Linked DNA regions of Bombyx mori. The protein of the gene in region 3 binds, or shares a complex with, the protein of the main gene of each other region. Links are inferred from orthologs where the notes say so. Each region holds a gene or a part of one and is shown on either strand. Other genes may lie near its edges.

Region 1 (6,320 bases), on a different chromosome or scaffold from region 3:
TTCTCGTGTCGTGCCGCTTTATCGAAGTGGCGCATTGACGCCGACTGTATATACTTACTGATGGACTCTAAGTCCAGGTCGTCATGGAGGTCGACGTTCCTGACGAACCACGGGGCTCCGACGGCTATCCTGCAAAAACGGGATTGAATGATTTGGAATGACTTTAAGTGAGTGCGGGCCGCGTGAGCGAACACTACACTTGCATAGGTCATGACGGGGCGTATGCAAGTTTTGTAGAGTGTCACCTTATTTCTAAGGGACATTTTACTTCGCCTACATATCATCGGGTAGAGACGTCCTAGAATGAAGGCGGCACGGTCGCGTACCGTCTTGATGTGGGGGCGGAATGTCATCCTACTGTCGAGGGTGACGCCTAAATATTTGACCTTCGGGGCCCACGGTATGGGCTGGTCGAACATCGTGATTGGGCGAACGGCGGGGGCGGAGGTGTTGACGCGCCTAGTCGGGAGGGATGACGTTTTATACAAAACATGCCTTTTTATACCTGCAGTTGGTCTTGCAAACTGCAGTGAGTTGAGGGAGCAATTTTTGGAGTTTGCTGTTGTCGTTTTGTTTCAGCAGGCAGGTAAACTTATCATGTCTTATGTGGTATCATTGAATAGGTATTGAACTATCCTTTAACCTTATGTTAAAAAATATATGTATTTTTTTAAATAAAAAGAAGTAAATAATATTTTTCAAAAAATGTACAGATGTGCGATTTCATTGCACCCGAGTGTAGATATATTTTGATCCTAATAAAAGGTTAAAGACTTTGTTTGAGTTTTCTTGCCTATTCATTAAACACAAAAGTGCCTTCGAACAAACACGGATTTGTGGAGCTTAATCAAGGCGCATACTTGCAAACCCGTGCGCGATTGGAGGACGCGTACCCTGAATTGAACACGTGTTTAGAAGGGCAGTTGGCGTTGCAAACCCGTGCGCGATTTGAGGACACGTGCCTTGAATTGAACACGATTTTGTAAAGGAAGCTAGCGCGACAAACCCGTGCGTGTTTCAAGGCAGTACTGCCTCCTAATGAACACGGAAATGGAAATACGCTACCCGGTCGAGGGGGGTAACGGACCGGGTTATGTCGGACTCCGGCGCCTCCTGGCCTGGCCTCCTGAGAGGAAGAAGGGGAGAAGAGAAGGGCCGAGGTCCTTCACCTGCCCCAATTTCTCATAGGAGACTACGCCTTGAAAAAGGCGCGCGAAGCACTTACCCCGCAGAACGACTACCGACTAAACCCCATCGAGCTCCACCACACCGACTACACGAAACTTACGGTACCGCGATGCGCGCCGAAAGTCTCGCCTTAGGCGGTACCCGTACTAATGTTAAGACGGGATTTCATCCCCGGGAAAATCCCGTAGTCGTCGTGGCCTAACGGATAAGACGTCCGGTGCATTCGTGTTGAGCGATGCATCGGTGTTCGAATCCCGCAGGCGGGTACCAATTTTTCTAATGAAATACGTACTCAACAAATGTTCACGATTGATTTCCACGGTGAAGGAATAACATCGTGTAATAAAAATGAAACCCGCAAAATTATAATTTGCGTAATTACTGGTGGTAGGACCTCTTGTGAGTCCGCACGGGTAGGTACCACCACCCTGCCTATTTCTGCCGTGAAGCAGTAATGCGTTTCGGTTTGAAGGGTGGGGCAGCCGTTGTAACTATAATTGAGACCTTAGAACTTATATCTCAAGATGGGTGGCGCATTTACGTTGTAGATGTCTATGGGCTCCAGTAACCACTTAACACCAGGTGGGCTGTGAGCTCGTCCACTCATCTAAAAAATCTGTCTCTGTAATAAATTAACTTTTTAAACAAGATTTAAATATAAAACAGTAAAATTGCTCGTGTTTTGGATATAAAACTGCAAAAATATTCGTAAAATATCGAAAACCGAATCAGAGCACATCACTTTCCACCTGGTCTTGTCTGCCCTACCCCTAGAGTGTATATAAAAAACCGGAGGCGCGGAGGGAGAGCAGTCCTCGCCAATATTAGTTAGTATTTAAAGTATTAAGTACATTTTGGCAAAACTAGCTTCACATATCATTAATATTAATAAATTCAGTTGTCAGTCCTAAGCCTGAGAAAGCATGAAGGATTGTTTTCATTTAAAAAAATGTATTAAAACCATTTCATATGTTATAACTGTTCCTATAAGTGGACATATTCTATTTAAAACATTATTAAACCTGTTGCAAAACAAAACGCTGTTATATTGGAACAGGCTACTGGAACTGTTCTTTCGCTGGAACAGGAACAGGTGGAACAGGTCTCTAATTTCACCTGTTACAGACCATCCCTAGTTTGGACAGGCAAAGGGAGATTAGTCGATTTAGCAAAGGATTCTGTAATGGGAACTATCACGGAAAAAAGATTGCTCCAAAATCGCGAACAGTAGTTGGCTTATGTAAATTTTAACACCACGTTGCATGATTGAAAAATAATACCCACTAGATAAATTTTCCATTCTTACTTCTCAAATGAAAATAATTACCTGTGTCGAAACTATTCCAGCCTTCACACTTACACAATTATCACCTGATCAACTTTGACTACCGTGGCCCCGGCACATCTTACGTTCTTCGATAGTCTACCTACCTACTACTTCGATAGTATACTTAAGTGTCAATAAATTCCCACTATTTTACTGGAACATCTTTAATTTATTTCATCTTAACACGTTTCATTCCATTTAGTTTCATTAAATTTCATCCAGAGCATCCATTAGTCACGTCCACTGAACTCTCAGTTAATAATCCTTGTTTTACTGAGACGATTTTATTTCATCCCATTGAGGGAGTCCGTATAAAGTCCCTTCTTTATTTCGCGGGAAAATCGTGTTTTATGTAATTAACACCACACTTGAAACAATAGGAGTTTTATTGTTGCAGCGGCTTATACAGTTCTAAGTTATACCATTTTTTTTTTTCGTCCTTTAAATATTCAGCGGTAAAAAAAATTTTTTTGGGTATTTTATGTCCAGCTCAACTAAGACCTTTAGGTCATGTCTTATTTTAATTCATATTCTTAATTTTATGAAAAATTATATAATGGAAAGAAGTGAAATGCAATGAAGATGATTAATTTGAGACAATAATCAAGTAAGATGAAATTAAATATAGTGAGATGAGATGATATGGGATGAAATATAATCTCAGTAAAATGGTGGTCATTTAATGAAAGGACATGGGCCATTTTCGGCCCAGCTACTCGTGCCCTCAAGGACATTAATAAAATATCTATAGAAAAAAACATTTCATTTTTACATACTTATTATAAAATTTAAGGGTATTTTAATGGTGGGATAATCAAAAGCATAAATAAAAAGAAATACTTAAGCATGATTAAGCTACATTGATAATATTGAAGGAGCTGCCATGGGTAAAATATATTTATATTTTAAATAATTCATATTAAATCTTCTTAAAGAAAACAATGTATTACAAAAAACTAGCAAAATATATTAACATATTTAATCGATAAATATAAATAATAGATAAGCTGATGATGATGTTCGTTTAGTGGGGCGTGCAATGTATGGTCCATGTCCTTTTTTCAGTGGACTTTTTGGAGGATTCCGGGGAAGTTATGTTCAGCGGCTTTGTTGCATTTTCCCACATTTGTGAACTTTCACAGATATTAAACAGTTAATAAATCACCGTTATTACACATTTAAACCTGAAGAAATACTAAATCGACAAAATAAAACAAATCACACAACTTCACTCCTCGCGTTCCCGCCAAAAAGTCCCGGACTCCCGGCGGTAAAAAGGTCCCGTGTCACAGACTATCTTCTTTTTCCCACCTCTTGTGCGATCCGGCTTACGCATCATAAAACATCCTAGTTTCATATAATGTCACTCAAATTTAAAGACTAACATTAGTTAAGTTCATCTCATTTAGCTTCATATGAATTCTGATTTATCAGATTAGAATTTCTACGTGCTCTTTACGTAGAAATTATATTATAGCTGGACTAGAAGGTCTTGTAACCGCTGGCTGTAAGCCAATTGCAATATTGAAAAATTAAGAAGAACAAAAACACTTCAATTTTATTATCTACTTAGAGACTCGGCTAAAGATATTTATTTCAAATTTAAGTAATAAGTTCGTAATGTCCAAAACTCCAATAAAAGAATTGGCTATCAACTTTGTACCTAGAGGTAATTATTTACATAGAGTTTGATTTATAAACTATTATGGTTACGTTGCTGGGTATCAATATCACTTATTATCAAGTGGGCTGTGAGTTTGTCTGCCCATCATCGATTAAGAAGAAAAAGTTTAACAAACAAAATTTCTGTTGTCCATGTCGATTGAAATAGTAAGTAATTTAATAAATGATATTATTTCAGAGATTACAACTCCAAATAAAGACCAACCAGGCTTATCAAAGACTGTATTTTCACATGTGTCTTCGTTTCATAGTTTGTTAATTGATTGGGTCAAACTAAAAGATAAAGGTTCTAAGTTTTGTAAAGGGATCTCATCAGTGAAACTGCACGAGTATAATGATGATTATTATCCGCACCTATTGAAGCCATTGACTGAGGGCTTAGTTGAAATTATAGATAGCTTTCAAAATATTATCGAGGGTAAGTAAAATGATGTATGTTAGTCTAACAATCAACTACAATATTGGAGTATGTGAGACTACTTTTAATAATGTTACAGTTTAAACAATTTAATGGAATGGAATATACATTAACTTTCTAATCAATCTAATTCTAATGCAAAACTGAACTATGTCATATTTAAATGTTTCATTTCAGGTATAAAAATACTAAAAAATCAACTGGATTCACTATCAAAATTGCAGTCGACTGACCAGCCAGTAATTTTGACATGGTCAGTAGGCCGAATTCATGCTTGTGTTAAAAATACATATGAATCACTCTTAAAGGAGTACAAACTAAAAAAAATTGTGACAGGTGAAAATTATTATTATTTATTGAAACATACTGGTGGTAAGACCTCTTGTGAATCCGCACGGGTAGGTACCACCACCCTGCCTATTTTAGACGTGAAGTAGTAATGCATTTCAGTTTGAAGGGTGGGGAACCTGTTTTAATTATACTTGAGGCATTAGAACTTATATCTCGAGGTGGGTGGCGCATTTACGCTGTAGATGTCTATGGGCTCCAGTAACCACTTAACAACAGGTGGGCTGTGAGCTCGTCCACCCATCTAAGCAATGAATAAAAACAACATGCCCGTGATTACATTAGAATTCTAAGACAAGTATTCCCTTTTTTAAAACCATTCAATTCTATGCAGGCCTCCAAAATAATTAATAAACAAAATAAATAATAATAATTAATAGAAAATTTTTGGGATACAAAACATAATTTTCAGAAAATATCCGGCTTTATTTGCTACAGAATAGATTTCACATACTGCTTCCTGACAACTCTGTGATAACTCAATAATTTACATTTTTATCTTATTGGTAATTTAAGGTAAACATAATTCATCATCATCATCATCTCAGCCTGTCCATTGTCCACTGCTGAACATAGGCCTCTCCAAGTGATCTCCAGTGCAGCCGGTCCGTTGCCACCTGCATCCAACGTGACCCAGCGGTTCTTACCAGGTCGTCGGTCCATCTCGTAGGTGGCCGTCCCACACTGAGCTTGCCAGTACGTGGTCTCCACTCGAGGATCTTTCCGCCCCATCGGCCGTCCGATCTTCGCGCTATGTGGCCTGCCCACTGCCACTTCAGTGTGCTAATCCTACGGCCTATGTCAGTAACTTTGGTTCTTCTACGGATCTCCTCGTTTCTGATTCGGCCCCGTAGAGAAATACCAAGCATAGCCATCTCCATAGCTCGCTGCGCGACGCTGATAATTATAATTATAAACATAATTAATGTATATAATTTCTGTTTTCAGAAAACATAGCACACTGTAGAGATGAAAGCCTCATTGAAGTTTATGTTAGTTCTTGGGAATTTGACCCATATTTGAACATGGAAGAAAATGCTTATTTATTTGCAGAAATTGGTGTTGCTGGAATTTCTTCATTTAAAAAAATAATTTAATGCTCATTCGTCAGTATTGTCTATGTCAAGTCATTTTTGGATGTTTTAAAAGTCACAGACAATTTAATTATAAAGCTTTAAAGGCCTTATGACTAAGTGTAAACTTACTATTTTTATCTTGTACTGTAAATTGTACAATTATTTAGTATAATCCTATAGAAGTTTCAAATACAAAATAACATTTACTGATATACATGAGTGTAGTAGAGTAAAATTGACTGTATCTTTTCTATAAATTATATTGTATTAATTTGTAATA
Region 2 (6,260 bases), on a different chromosome or scaffold from region 3:
GAAGAACAAATGACAAAACAAATTACAAATTTAACATTTGCTATTTTATGACTCATTTTTAACTTTCGTGGAACTTATTATCATTGTTTTTGTATTGTTTTCTCGTGAATATTGAACCTATTCTATTTCGTGAAACTAAATAACGTTGTTATTTTATCGTATTCTTTTATCGCATTATTTTCGAATGGACACGTGTGCCTGTGTACCGTCCTGTTTGTCGGACTTACTCAGATTATCGTTAATCAATTGCGAAGGAAAGTTCTGTTCTGCATCATGTAAAAACGGAAAATTAAAGTACTGTCATTAAAGTCATAAACTTAAAATAGTGAATGCATTTGAATGCGGAAAATCGCGAATCGAAATTCAGAGGGAGCATTAGCGAGAAACTCGGGTTAGTGAGAAACCTCTATAAGCGAGAATGAGATTGTGCTCCCTTGAACTCTCGCTTATCCAGGTTTGACTGTACTTTCATTTGATAATATAAAATATATGGATACTATGCTGACAAAGTGATAAATAGCGTCAAAGACGTGTGACTAGAACTATATAAATAATTACCGCTGAACAATAGACTTCAAAGGCGCAAATATCGGAGGATGATATGAAATAATCATCTCACACGCCAGAATTTCAGCTTCCAAGGCCACATCTTCTGTTAAGTCGTTAGTTAACAAAATTTTGGTTATTTGTCTGGAATTGAAAATTATAAAAAAATATTATATTTTAAATAGGTAATTAAAAACATAAAGAAAATTAATTTAAATTTGTCAAATTAACTAATGGAAATTTATTTAAAGTATTTTTATAAGTTTGGCGATTATATGTCTGAACTTACAGGCATTTGACTTTAGCTGGTACCACTTCTACATCATCAACTCATATTATAGTTGCATCCTCACTTTGTGTTCTGTATAGATCTTTCTATAACAGGGGAGTGACTTTTAGTCCACACTGGTTGTGTTTGAGAATAGACTGTATTTTTTAAATCTTGTGATTCGCAAAAGTGCAATGGGCATTGGCCATGTAATTTTATTTATTTTTATTAAAAAGGTTTTCGAGGAATAGGTTAGCTGATTACAGAAAACCAATTTTCAATGAAATAATATAATATAATTATATATGAAAAATAATTATATACCCATGTTTTAATCAAACATGTTTGGTAATCCTCAAATAATGTCATCATTGGCTTTATTCAAAGAGACACTTTAGCCTATATATTTTATATACCCTACATACGGCTGAATTGACAGTTTATAATTTGAAACTTCAAAGCACATACAATTTCAACCCAAAGCATGAAGGTAATCATAACTTTAATACTTAAGACTTATCTATCAATTCTATGTCTTCTTCTTCTTATCAGCCCACAGACGTCCACTACTGGACACAGGGCTCCCCCAAGTCTCGCCACAAAGACCGGTCCTGCGCTGCCTGCATCCAGCAGATTCCCGCGAATCTCAATAGATCGTCGTTCTATCTTGCGGGAGGCTTGCCCACGCTACGTCTTCCGGTACGCGGTCGCCACTCAAGAACTTTCTGGCCCCAACGGCCATCCGTTCTACGAGCAATGTGCCTTGCCCACTGCCAATTCAACGTCGCAATTCTTTGGGCTATGTCGGTTATCATGGTTTTCCTGCGAATCTCCTCATTTCTGATTTATCTCGCAGGAAAACTCCAAGCATAGCCTCTCCATTGCTCTTTGAGTGACCTTGAGCCTTCTCATAAGGGCCATTGTGAGCAACCACATTTCAGAGCAACACACACTGATCAAAGACTTTCGTCTTGAGACACTGTGGTATTTGTGATGAGAAGATTTACGTAGCTTTCCGAACGCTGCCTATCCAAGCTGGATTCGACGATTGACCTCTTTTTCGAAGTTGGACTTACTTAGCAGGACAGTGTGTCCCAGTTAAATATACTCGTCAACAACTTCGAGCGTAGAGCTTCCAATTTTTACTGGAGTGGGCGCTATATGAACATTCAACATAATTTTTGTTTTTTCCATGTTCATATTCAGGCCCACTCGGATAGAAGCCCTACTGAGGTCTTTGAGCATTGTACTAAGGTCCTCCAAGGTCTCGGCCATAGTCACAATATCGTCGGCGAACTATGTACTCGCCGATGATGTTTATGCTAGCCCTTTCCAGTTCAGAACTTTGAAAATGTCTTCCAACGCAGCGGTAAATAGTTTCGGAGAAATAACATCTCTGCAAGACTGCATAATCATCTCGCGACGTTCTTCCATGAGTTTGAAAGTAGGGTCTGAGAGTTTTTTGGTTCTGTTTGCACGACGGGTTCCAAAAATCTTGGAACCGATCGTATGGACAGCATTCACAAACCCGTTATTGTAATCGTCCACGGAGCCTCCTAGGCACTCGAAGCGGTTTTGAAGTTCGAGCTGAAAGTGTCTAGAACTTTGGATCTGAGCTGGTGCTGAACGGAGCGTAGACCTCATAACTCGGAATCTCTCAAGGTTTATTGAGGTTCATTGTGCCTCTTACCACCCGATGATCACTTCCGGTTTTAATCGTATTGATCACAGAGACATCATAATAAAATCTGCGACATAATAAAATCAATCTCATTTTTGATAGCGCTATTGGGGCTCATCCAGGTCCACTTCCTGTGACCCCGTTTTCTGAAGAGGTCATCATAAATAATTCTTTCTTCTCCATGAAATCGGCAAGTAAGTTTCCCTGGTGATTTCGATGCCCAAATCCAAATGGTCCTACTCGCAGCTCCCCTTCGCACCGTTTACCGAGTCTGGCGTTGATATCCCCCATGACAATGGTGAAGTGAGTTGTAGAGCTATGCATGGCTCTGGAAATGTCCTATTACATAGTCGGAGCGTAAACCTGTATTATCTTCAACGAATACCTTTTGGTGATTCTGAGTACAAGGTACAACCACTCTGGTCGATACACTCTCGATTTACAACACATTATTCATAGGGGACTTGTGGACGATAATCCCGACACCACCTTAAGACAGATGATCACCTTCCCGAAAATAGAACAAGTTACCGGACCTCAGAATTATCGTTTCCTCTCCCTCTCTTCGGACTTCAGATAAGCCCACAATGTCCCACCGTAACCTGCTCAATTCCTCCTCGAGTTCCACAATCTTCTCATCGGTCCGCAGTGTTCGCGCGTTATATGTTGCCAGGTCCAATCGTCGTTTTTTACGTAGCCGGATCTCTGCCGGAGATTCTTAGCACCCCCTGCCCCGCCGTTACCTTGACCGCTACTGTAGCCAGGAATAGCGGAGCTGCCGAGGACTGGGCGGTTTTTATTTGTGTCAGACATGTTGGGAGGGGTTTCCATAATCGCCACGCTTGGCATGCGGGTTGGCGATCGCAGTATGCTGTTATGATACTCAGAGAACGTTGCCGCTCATTCTCTGGATAACCCGTTAGTCGCCCGGTATTATTCTTTATCGAGGCCACACCACACGGACACCACACGGCCAATTCTGTGTAATCCTCTACAATAAGTCTAAAGACTAAAGCAATACACAGTAAGGCTTAGCATCTCTGTCATTACCAGTTTCTATGTGAGGCAGTAGCTACCTTAATATAATTATTATAATAGTACATAATTTTAAATGAATAACATTTTTTTTTGTTACTGCTAGTGGGTATTTGTAGTCAAGAATAAATTTGCTCATACCTCGGTGTGTAAGGTTCCACCAACAAACCAGTGTTATCCCAACTCTCTGCCAATTCTTTTGGAGCAAATTTTTCAAGTACTGTTACTACTCTTTCCAAAGACACTGCACAGAATTTCTCAGTTGACATTTTGATAAAATGTGTGAACAAGTGATTCCTTGAATTTCTTGACTTTAAAATGTGCCTGCCTAACTGAAAGAACATTAGTAATATCTGAAAAAAGTTTAATTTTTAAATGTAAAATTTACTAATAAATTTGAAATAAAACATTGTTAAAAAATTAAATTTTACCAAAAGGCATTTTGAAAAGATTCAGTGAAATAATAAATGCTGTTTTTCATCATTATTTTAATCCAAACTTTATTTCCTTTTTCCTTATCTTTAAAACTAACTACTCCATTATAAAAACAATTAACTGATGTTTAATTTATAAATTGGAATTTTATAATGCCACTTTTAATTTTTAATATGGTTTGTAATAGTTTAATATGGTATATTGTGTAATAATATAGTACTTTAGTGTTTTGTTAATTCATATTATAAGACCGTTTCTTATACCAAAAAAAACCTGACTGTGGGTATTTTGTATAGTTCAATGATTGGATCTAAAGAAGTTGATATTTCATAATAATTGTCAGATTTTCAAAGCTTTCATATTTAAAAAAAATATGTAAGCCCATGGATTATATCAGCAAGCCAGTGCAGTGTATACCAAAACATTTTATCTATGTTATAATGTTTTTTGTTATTTTTTTTATTAGTTATTTGGGTTATGTTCGTGAACAATAATACTAAATCATGTTTTCAACAATTATTATAAAGACTGAAACTTATACTGTATTTACAATACATTTATATCTTGCTAGATACAATCACAGCTAATGTCTTGTGGCATAACCTTAATATAAAATTATTATCACTCCTTGTTAGATTTTTTGATCATTTCTATTTGATCTTTCTGTCAATAATTAGTTACTTTAAGCTTCTGTAAACTTCCATATTTTTATTTCTCCATCATCACTACAAGAAAGCAGTTCTTGATTTCCTGAAGGATTCCAAGCTACACAGTTTACATCTTGAGAATGAGCATTTTTCTTTGTACAAAGAAGTTCAAAAGTGGGAGCATTAGGATCAGAATCTTCACTCTCTTTAAATATTCTAATGATATCATCTCCACAAGCAGTAGCTATGAGGTCAGTTTTATGACACCAAGCAATATCATAAATACATCGTGTGTGAAATCCAGAGAGTGTACATATGCATTTCCAGACTGCCTCTCGATCAGTCACCACAACACCTTCTTGATTATCAGGTTTGTATTCTTTCCAAATTTTTACAGTTCTATCGTCACTACATGTCGCCAGTCTTTCTCCAGTTTTATCAAATGCCAAACTCCAAACTGTTGACTCATGCGAATGTAGAGTGGCAACACAAGTCCAATCATTATCTACAGGATCTTCTTGGTACAGTTTTACTGTGTTATCATAAGATGCTGATGCTAAGATATCTAGAGAAGGATGCCATGCAACCTATAAAGAAAATAATATAATTTATCCATTCATTATATGTAAGAAACACAAACTCAATTTTGTTTATTCATGCACTAACTTTCTTCACATCCTGATTGTGAGCATTAAGTACAGCTTCACACTCGTATTCATCTTCTCCAGCTACTTCCCACACCCAAACAGACTTATCTCTTCCACAAGTAGCCAGGAGATGGCCTGAAGGTGACCATGCTACACTTTTAACTTCATTTTCATGGCCTTCTAAAGTTGCATTGCATTGGAATTCACCTATAAAGTGTTACTCATTTTAATTTTGGATGTACAAATTCTTCACAGGGTCACAAGGGAAAAATACACACCACTTTTTTTATCCCAAATTGCAGTAGTCGCATCAAAACTGGCTGAAGCGAGGAAATTACCGCAGGGTGACCAGGCTACTTCCCGAATTGTTCTCTGATGTCCATCGACAAGTACAGTCTTAATCGCCCAATCTTGTCCATATTTACTCCATAATTTTATAGTTTTATCTTCACCACAAGAAGCAAAATATTTTCCAAGTGGATGCCACGACACATTCCAAACTATACCCTTGTGTCCGGCCAGATTTTGAATCAGTTCCAGTTTAAACATTTTAAGCGTTTATTCTATTTACTTATTTTGTATAATAATGACGTCAACTGGAAATTTACATAATATTCGGCTATTAAGGAACTATAACACTTAATTTATGTATAAACATACAAATAAGTCATTGTGGAATCTTTTTGGAAAATTTTAAACGTTAGTATGTTGATTTTTTAATACACGTATTATTGTTTATACGTTTTGTTCATTAAATTAGTCAAGATAAATTAGTAAAGTTATGTACTCACTTCGTGTTTGCCACTCGAGAAGAGTGAAGTTCTTGAAAACAAATTGTTTCAGAAATGTAATTTTTTTGAAATAATCACTGTAGAATATTTGTCAAATATGACATTTAAGGTTTTTCAAAAAAATGGAAGTCAATGGCTTTAGGGCCATTGGCCAGAAATGTCCAGATAACATTTAAGGGACAAATAAAATTGCGACTATTGACAAAAATG
Region 3 (5,750 bases):
CAACGCCATGTATTGTCAGATAGCGAAAATACATTTCTCGACTTTTGTGGAATATTCTCGATAATTCTATGGATGTCGTATCGATTATAAAAGCGTTGCAGAGATGGCACGCAGTCAGTCAGTAATTGGAACTACTCGAAGCGAAACAGGGAACAGATCACCTGAAGCCAAGCGGAACAAGCGAATTGAGAGTTTTAAAGTGTTTGTAGGGTGCTTTAAGTGTTGAATACAGTTTTTAGTTGTACTTTGGTGGAACATTTATTTATCCCAGCGCGTAACAATATGTACGTATTCGGGGATTTTGAGTCTCACTTGAAGGTTCACTATCTCAGTATATAAACAACTGTACGTGTAGCTGTAATTCATCTAACACGAAGGTAGTCAAGCTCCGTAACCCCGCACGTCAGCTGTGTGCCTAACGACAAACATAGGGGCGCTGTTCCAACTCCATACAAATTTGAGTTAACTTTTACGCAATCGAGATGTTAAAAACTCGCACTAAGAATACTAATTGTTAACTCTATTTGCGTACGATTGACAAGACTGTAAGTACGGGCCCTCGGACGCGACCTCCGAACATCAGTAGCGTTAAATACACCCAACAAAATTGGCATAACTTTTATAGTTTCTTAACGTTTATACGATACAATGAACAAGGGCGCACCTGGAAGTTCTCCCGCAGGTAGTCGAGCCGTGCCTTGAGGATGCGGCTCTGCGTGAACACGTAGGGGATGCCGAACATGAGCACGGCGCGGCCCAGGTGGTGCTCGAAGTCCACGCCCTCCGACACCTTGCCGCGGGCCACGGACAGCAGCACGGCGCCGCGCCCCGACTCGCACGCCTGCGCACCGCACCCACCTCACACCACAAGATACAACGATGCACGAAGTCCAGATAAGGTTTAAAAGGTAGATAAATCTTATATTTATCTTTTACTGGCTGACCCGGGCAGACTTCGTAGTGGCCTCAATCGATAAACAAAATCCTAATCTAAGTGACACATCTAAGGGAAAACAAAATTGTTATTTTTATTTCATTCCGAGCATTTTCATATTTATCTATGTTTTAAGCCTTCTCTGGACTTCCACAAATAATTGAAGATCAAAAGCTAAAATCGGTCCAGCCGTTCTTGAGTTTTAGCGAGACTAACGAACAGCAATTCATTTTTATATATATAGATTTATCGATGGAGGCACTACGAAGTCTGTTATAAATACATATTTGGCTCAGTGTGGTTAGTGCGAGTTTTTTAACATAGCGTAAAAGTTAACCCAATTTAGTATGCAGTTGGAACAGCGCCTCTAGCGGCAAACGTACGCAAACGTTCCAACTCCATACAAATTCGAGTTAACTTTTACGCTATCGAGAACGTTAAAAACTCGCACTAAGCACACTGGTGTAAAGTTAGATTTTAAAGTGAAACTTTTATTACATCGTCTCAAACTTTTCCGTCTGTGTGTTGCATGTCGCGTGACGGTCGGCCGCGGAGTAGGGATAAAGTGAAAGGCGCTCGTCAGAGCAGCCAAGGCCAATATGGCGGCGCCTATAGTTCGCAGCAGCTGACCGTGTAGTGTATAGACTATTACTCATTTGTGCCAGTGATCCACGCTATTGTTTGTTTTTGTCAGTGTTTAATGTAAATGGTGTTTGTCAGAGTTAAATGTCTATAATGTGAAAAAAAAAGTTTCACTTTTAGCGTGGTTTCATAAAACACACAATCCTTTTTATTGCTTAGATGGGTGGACGAAGTCACAGCCCACCTGGTGTTAAGTGGTTACTGGAGCCCATAGACATCTACAACGTAAATGCGCAACCCTCCTTGAGATATGAGTTCTAAGGTCTCAGTATAGTTAAACGCCCCCCCCCCCCCCCCTTCACACCGGAACGCATTACTGCTTCACGAGTATAATTAATCATCCTTAAAATTTCTGACAGTAACTAGTGATGCTCTATATGTAAGGGTCCCGCTGGTGGGGCGGCGGCGCCACTTGCCTTGATGTAGTTGATGAGGGCGAAGCTCGTCTCGGCGGAGTCTTGCGTCTCGATGAACAGCAGCTTGTGTCGCTGCAGACTCGCGACTACACCTGCACACGCGTTACATTTGTTACGAGAGGGGCCCGCGGACATCACGCTGCATCGTGTTTATGTGGCCGAGTTTCCGCTCACCCTGGTCGTACCAGGCCCCCACGACGCTCTCCAGATACAGGTACGACGTGAAGAAGCACACCACGCCGTCAGGCACGCACGCCGACATCTGTAGATGAGAGAACATATATTTACTAACACTCATTTATAAGTACCGTTACGCGCTGGGATTCGGGATAAATAAAATTCTACCGAATTACAAGTTAACACTATATTAGCACTTAGAACACTTAAAACACTTAACAAACGCTTTAAAACTCTCAATTCGCTTCTTCCGCTTCGCTTCTGGTGATCCTTTCGCTGTTCCGATTACTGACTGCGTGTTTTTTTTTCCTACCTAAGCTGAGAGCCTTGAGAGGCTATATCAGCGTAGCCTTAACTAGTAGGTGAGCTCACGGGGCTCAAACCTGACAACATTTCTAACATGAGCCCTAGCTAGCGAGCCGAATCGGAATTGTAACCCACTGAGAAGATCAGGCGAGAAACTCAGTGGACTGTGTCTGAAGGCATCTCTGCAACGCTTTTATAGTCGAGCCGAAATCCCGAGAATCGTCGAGAATATTTCACAAAAGTCTAGTATTGTGTATTTCCGTTATCTGGCAATAGATGACGTTGTACTTCTCGAGCGTTCTAGATGTTACTAGATCCTTCGATATTCGTTCGACTATTCGGCGATAGATGGCGTTACTCTTACCGGCGTAACAGTACTAATGGTTTCCCAGTTGTACACTACACTATAGATAAATAATATTAAACTTAACGCCAGGTGGGCTGTGAGCTCATCCACCCATCTAAGCAATAAAAAAAAGTGCGCTCCTCTATATTGTTACGCCGGTAAGAGTAACGCCATCTATCGTCGAACAGCAGAAACGAATATCAAAAGAACCAGTAAAATGTAGAACGATCGAGAAGTGCAACGCCATCTGTTGTCAGACAGCAGAAACGCATATTGAAAATACCTGACTTGTGAGGGATGTTTTCAATAATTCTAGGGATGTCGTATCGCCGGCAGTGATGACATGGATCAGTTTGTTAATCGAATCTACTCGAAGCGAAACAGCGAACGGATCAGCTGAAGCGAAGCGAAAGAAGTAAATTGAAAATTTTAAAGTGATTTAAGTGCTAATTTGTACTACCGTAGAATTTTTATTTATCCCGAACCCCAGCGCGTAACAATATTCTCTATGAGTGTGAGATATTTCATACTACTCCGCAAAATTTTCATAAAAAGGGGTACAAAGTTTTTGCTTCACCTATAAATATACAGATAATAATATTCAGATATTGTGTGCCGTTTTATAAGGACGGCATTGTTGTAGGTGAAGACAACGGTAAGATTGAGGTTTATTGTTTTGATTGTTCTCAAGACGATGAGAAGTGGTTAAATTTAATATCAAAGACAGGTACGCGAGCGTCTATGTTTAGACGAAACTGTCTATAGGCATTGTAATTGTGACCATCCGTTGTTAAGTGAGTAACAATCAAACTGAGACGATAATTATATAAAGAACTCATTTCAGCGGGGTGCGTTTGTACTGTAAAAACTGAGACCTTAGAACTCATATCTCAAGGTGAGTGGCAGCATTTACGTTGCAGATGTCTATGGGCTCTTAATACCAGTGGGCTTTAAGTTCGCCCACACATCTAAGCAATAAAAAAGTGACATGGTCGCCATATCGCAGGAGTCTTTCGTGGACATGTGCAAGATCCATATGACTATAAGCGGCGGCGCAGTACGAGAACGGTACCTCGACCAGCAGCTGCCCGTAGTTCCTTATGACGGCGACGTCCTCTCTCGTCTCGTACTTGGACGATATGGCCACCTGATCGCTGCCCTTCGATACTATCTGAAAGATATAACAAAAAACAATTATTAGGTACAGAGGGACGCAAACGTGCATGGATATTTGTATGAACCTACAGCTAACGCCATTTTTTTATGAACAAAGGATTACTGGAAATTCCTCCGGGCTCTTTTCGGTTTCACCAGGACAGGTGGGCGAGCAAGGGCTCAGCCAGGAGAGGTAGGATTTGCTAACAGCTGCCCGAGCGCCTCCGAAGGAGACCTAACAACTCAAGAGCAGCTGCTTTGCTAATGAATCTACTACCGGATCGGAATCGCGACCCGCTGAGAAGATCCGGCGAGAAACTCGACGGGCTGATGCATGGGTTAGGTTGCACGGCGAACTCTTTGTCGAGTTCGACGAATACGGTTACCGGGGTCCCTCAGTCTGCTCCTAGTGTTAGAGCTGAAGGCGTCTAATTAAGGCATGCTAACGCCATCTGTTATTGAAGGGCGGTACTAGCTGGTGATGTGTAGTAGTCTGTTACTGGTACCAGATTGTGCTTTATTAAACATGTGAAAAATATTTTGTATGGTGCATGTACAATCTCAATGTTTAGAATGAAACAGAAGATAGGTAAAAATATGTACCTAATAAGATGATTGATGATTTAAATGTGATGAAGACAAGTAAATAAACCCAGCAACGCCATCTAATTAATGTATATTAACTCGCATAAAAATGCACTAACGCGTTTCGGGTTTCGTACCGCCGTTAGACAATATTGAGAGTTTGACCTCAAGCCTCATGGTGGGTAGCGTTATGCACGTTATGATATGACTACGGGATCCGGTGAACACTTGAAACCAGATCTTCCGATATGACTAAAGAGTAATCTTATGTCTCTGTGAAATCAATTGATATATCAGTTCTGTCAGCTTCAACAGTGATGAGCAGCTCGTGGACATTCTCCCTTCCTCCACCCTCAGTACATCCAGTGATTCACGAGAGCTCACGACTAACCTATTTACAATATATCGCAAGTTCTATGAGCTAAGGATCCCGACTGACAAAACTAACCATGGGCAGTATGCACGGCCTGGCCAGGGTCATGGTGAAGGAGCTCATTATCACCGGATTGAAGTCCAGGATCTTCGGGTACATGTCCAGCGGCGAGAGGGTTCCTGAAATTTCCACGAAACTATTGTTACGCTGGCAAGAGCAATGCCATCTATCGTCGAATAACAGCAACTAGTATAAGAACAGAAACTAATATAAGAACGTTGCCGGCTAACATTCGAGTTTGCAAGTCTGTTTCTGTTTTAAGTACAAGTTCAAACAATTCTATTTCTCATCAACCGAATGATCATTGTTCTATGCTCTTCGTATATACTGTGTTACTTATAATATTTTGTATTCAAGTTTAACAATATTTATGTTGAATATGGCGGTCGAATGAGCATGGTTACTGATTTTCATGGGCCACCAGACGGGCTCGGCTGGATCGCATGCAGCGTACGTACTGATAGTCTGAGTAATAAAAGCACTGACTTCTTATGAACAATTGTATTTTGTCTGAATTACAACATTTAATTATATTCAAGTCTGATTGAAGAGTACTGAAGACGCGTCCGTTCGCGTGAGGGGCGCTTGGGCAGAGAGCGAACAGAGTAGTTGAATGACAAAACTGAACATTAACATAGATTATTACGGCTTCGTACTGATCTAATACAGATAAACAATTTCGTTTCTACAGAGTAATAATTACATGTGAATTTGCGTGAACAATTTACTATGTGTATTTGCGTTACTATAATTCTC

Evidence for each region. Proteins that work in one complex are often made in the same cells at the same time.
Region 1: general transcription and DNA repair factor IIH helicase subunit XPD (region 3) and DNA-directed RNA polymerase II subunit Rpb4 share a complex: the UniProt entries of both Homo sapiens proteins name them as parts of the TBP-based Pol II pre-initiation complex. The link is inferred for Bombyx mori from reciprocal best matches to the Homo sapiens genes ERCC2 and POLR2D.
Region 2: general transcription and DNA repair factor IIH helicase subunit XPD (region 3) and NIF3-like protein share a complex: the UniProt entries of both Homo sapiens proteins name them as parts of the MMXD complex. The link is inferred for Bombyx mori from reciprocal best matches to the Homo sapiens genes ERCC2 and CIAO1.

The regions. Positions count from the first base shown.
Region 1 is NC_085114.1:9,606,222-9,612,541, reverse strand, and holds the start of DNA-directed RNA polymerase II subunit Rpb4, read right to left. Parts: upstream 3,800-6,320; 5' UTR 3,690-3,799; exon of another isoform or gene 3,681-3,689; intron 2,883-3,680; 5' UTR 2,516-2,882; intron 1-2,515. Other genes in the region: uncharacterized protein LOC119628842, read left to right, coding at 4,136-4,184, 4,377-4,616, 4,794-4,952, 5,913-6,061. UniProt on the Homo sapiens protein: Core component of RNA polymerase II (Pol II), a DNA-dependent RNA polymerase which synthesizes mRNA precursors and many functional non-coding RNAs using the four ribonucleoside triphosphates as substrates.
Region 2 is NC_085116.1:9,600,300-9,606,559, forward strand, and holds the start of NIF3-like protein, read right to left. Parts: upstream 3,800-6,260; coding exon 3,672-3,799; intron 691-3,671; coding exon 559-690; intron 1-558. UniProt on the Homo sapiens protein: Key component of the cytosolic iron-sulfur protein assembly (CIA) complex, a multiprotein complex that mediates the incorporation of iron-sulfur cluster into extramitochondrial Fe/S proteins.
Region 3 is NC_085127.1:13,512,944-13,518,693, reverse strand, and holds part of general transcription and DNA repair factor IIH helicase subunit XPD, read right to left. Parts: intron 5,114-5,750; coding exon 5,010-5,113; intron 3,993-5,009; coding exon 3,894-3,992; intron 2,255-3,893; coding exon 2,167-2,254; intron 2,085-2,166; coding exon 1,993-2,084; intron 842-1,992; coding exon 665-841; intron 1-664. UniProt on the Homo sapiens protein: ATP-dependent 5'-3' DNA helicase. Component of the general transcription and DNA repair factor IIH (TFIIH) core complex, not absolutely essential for minimal transcription in vitro.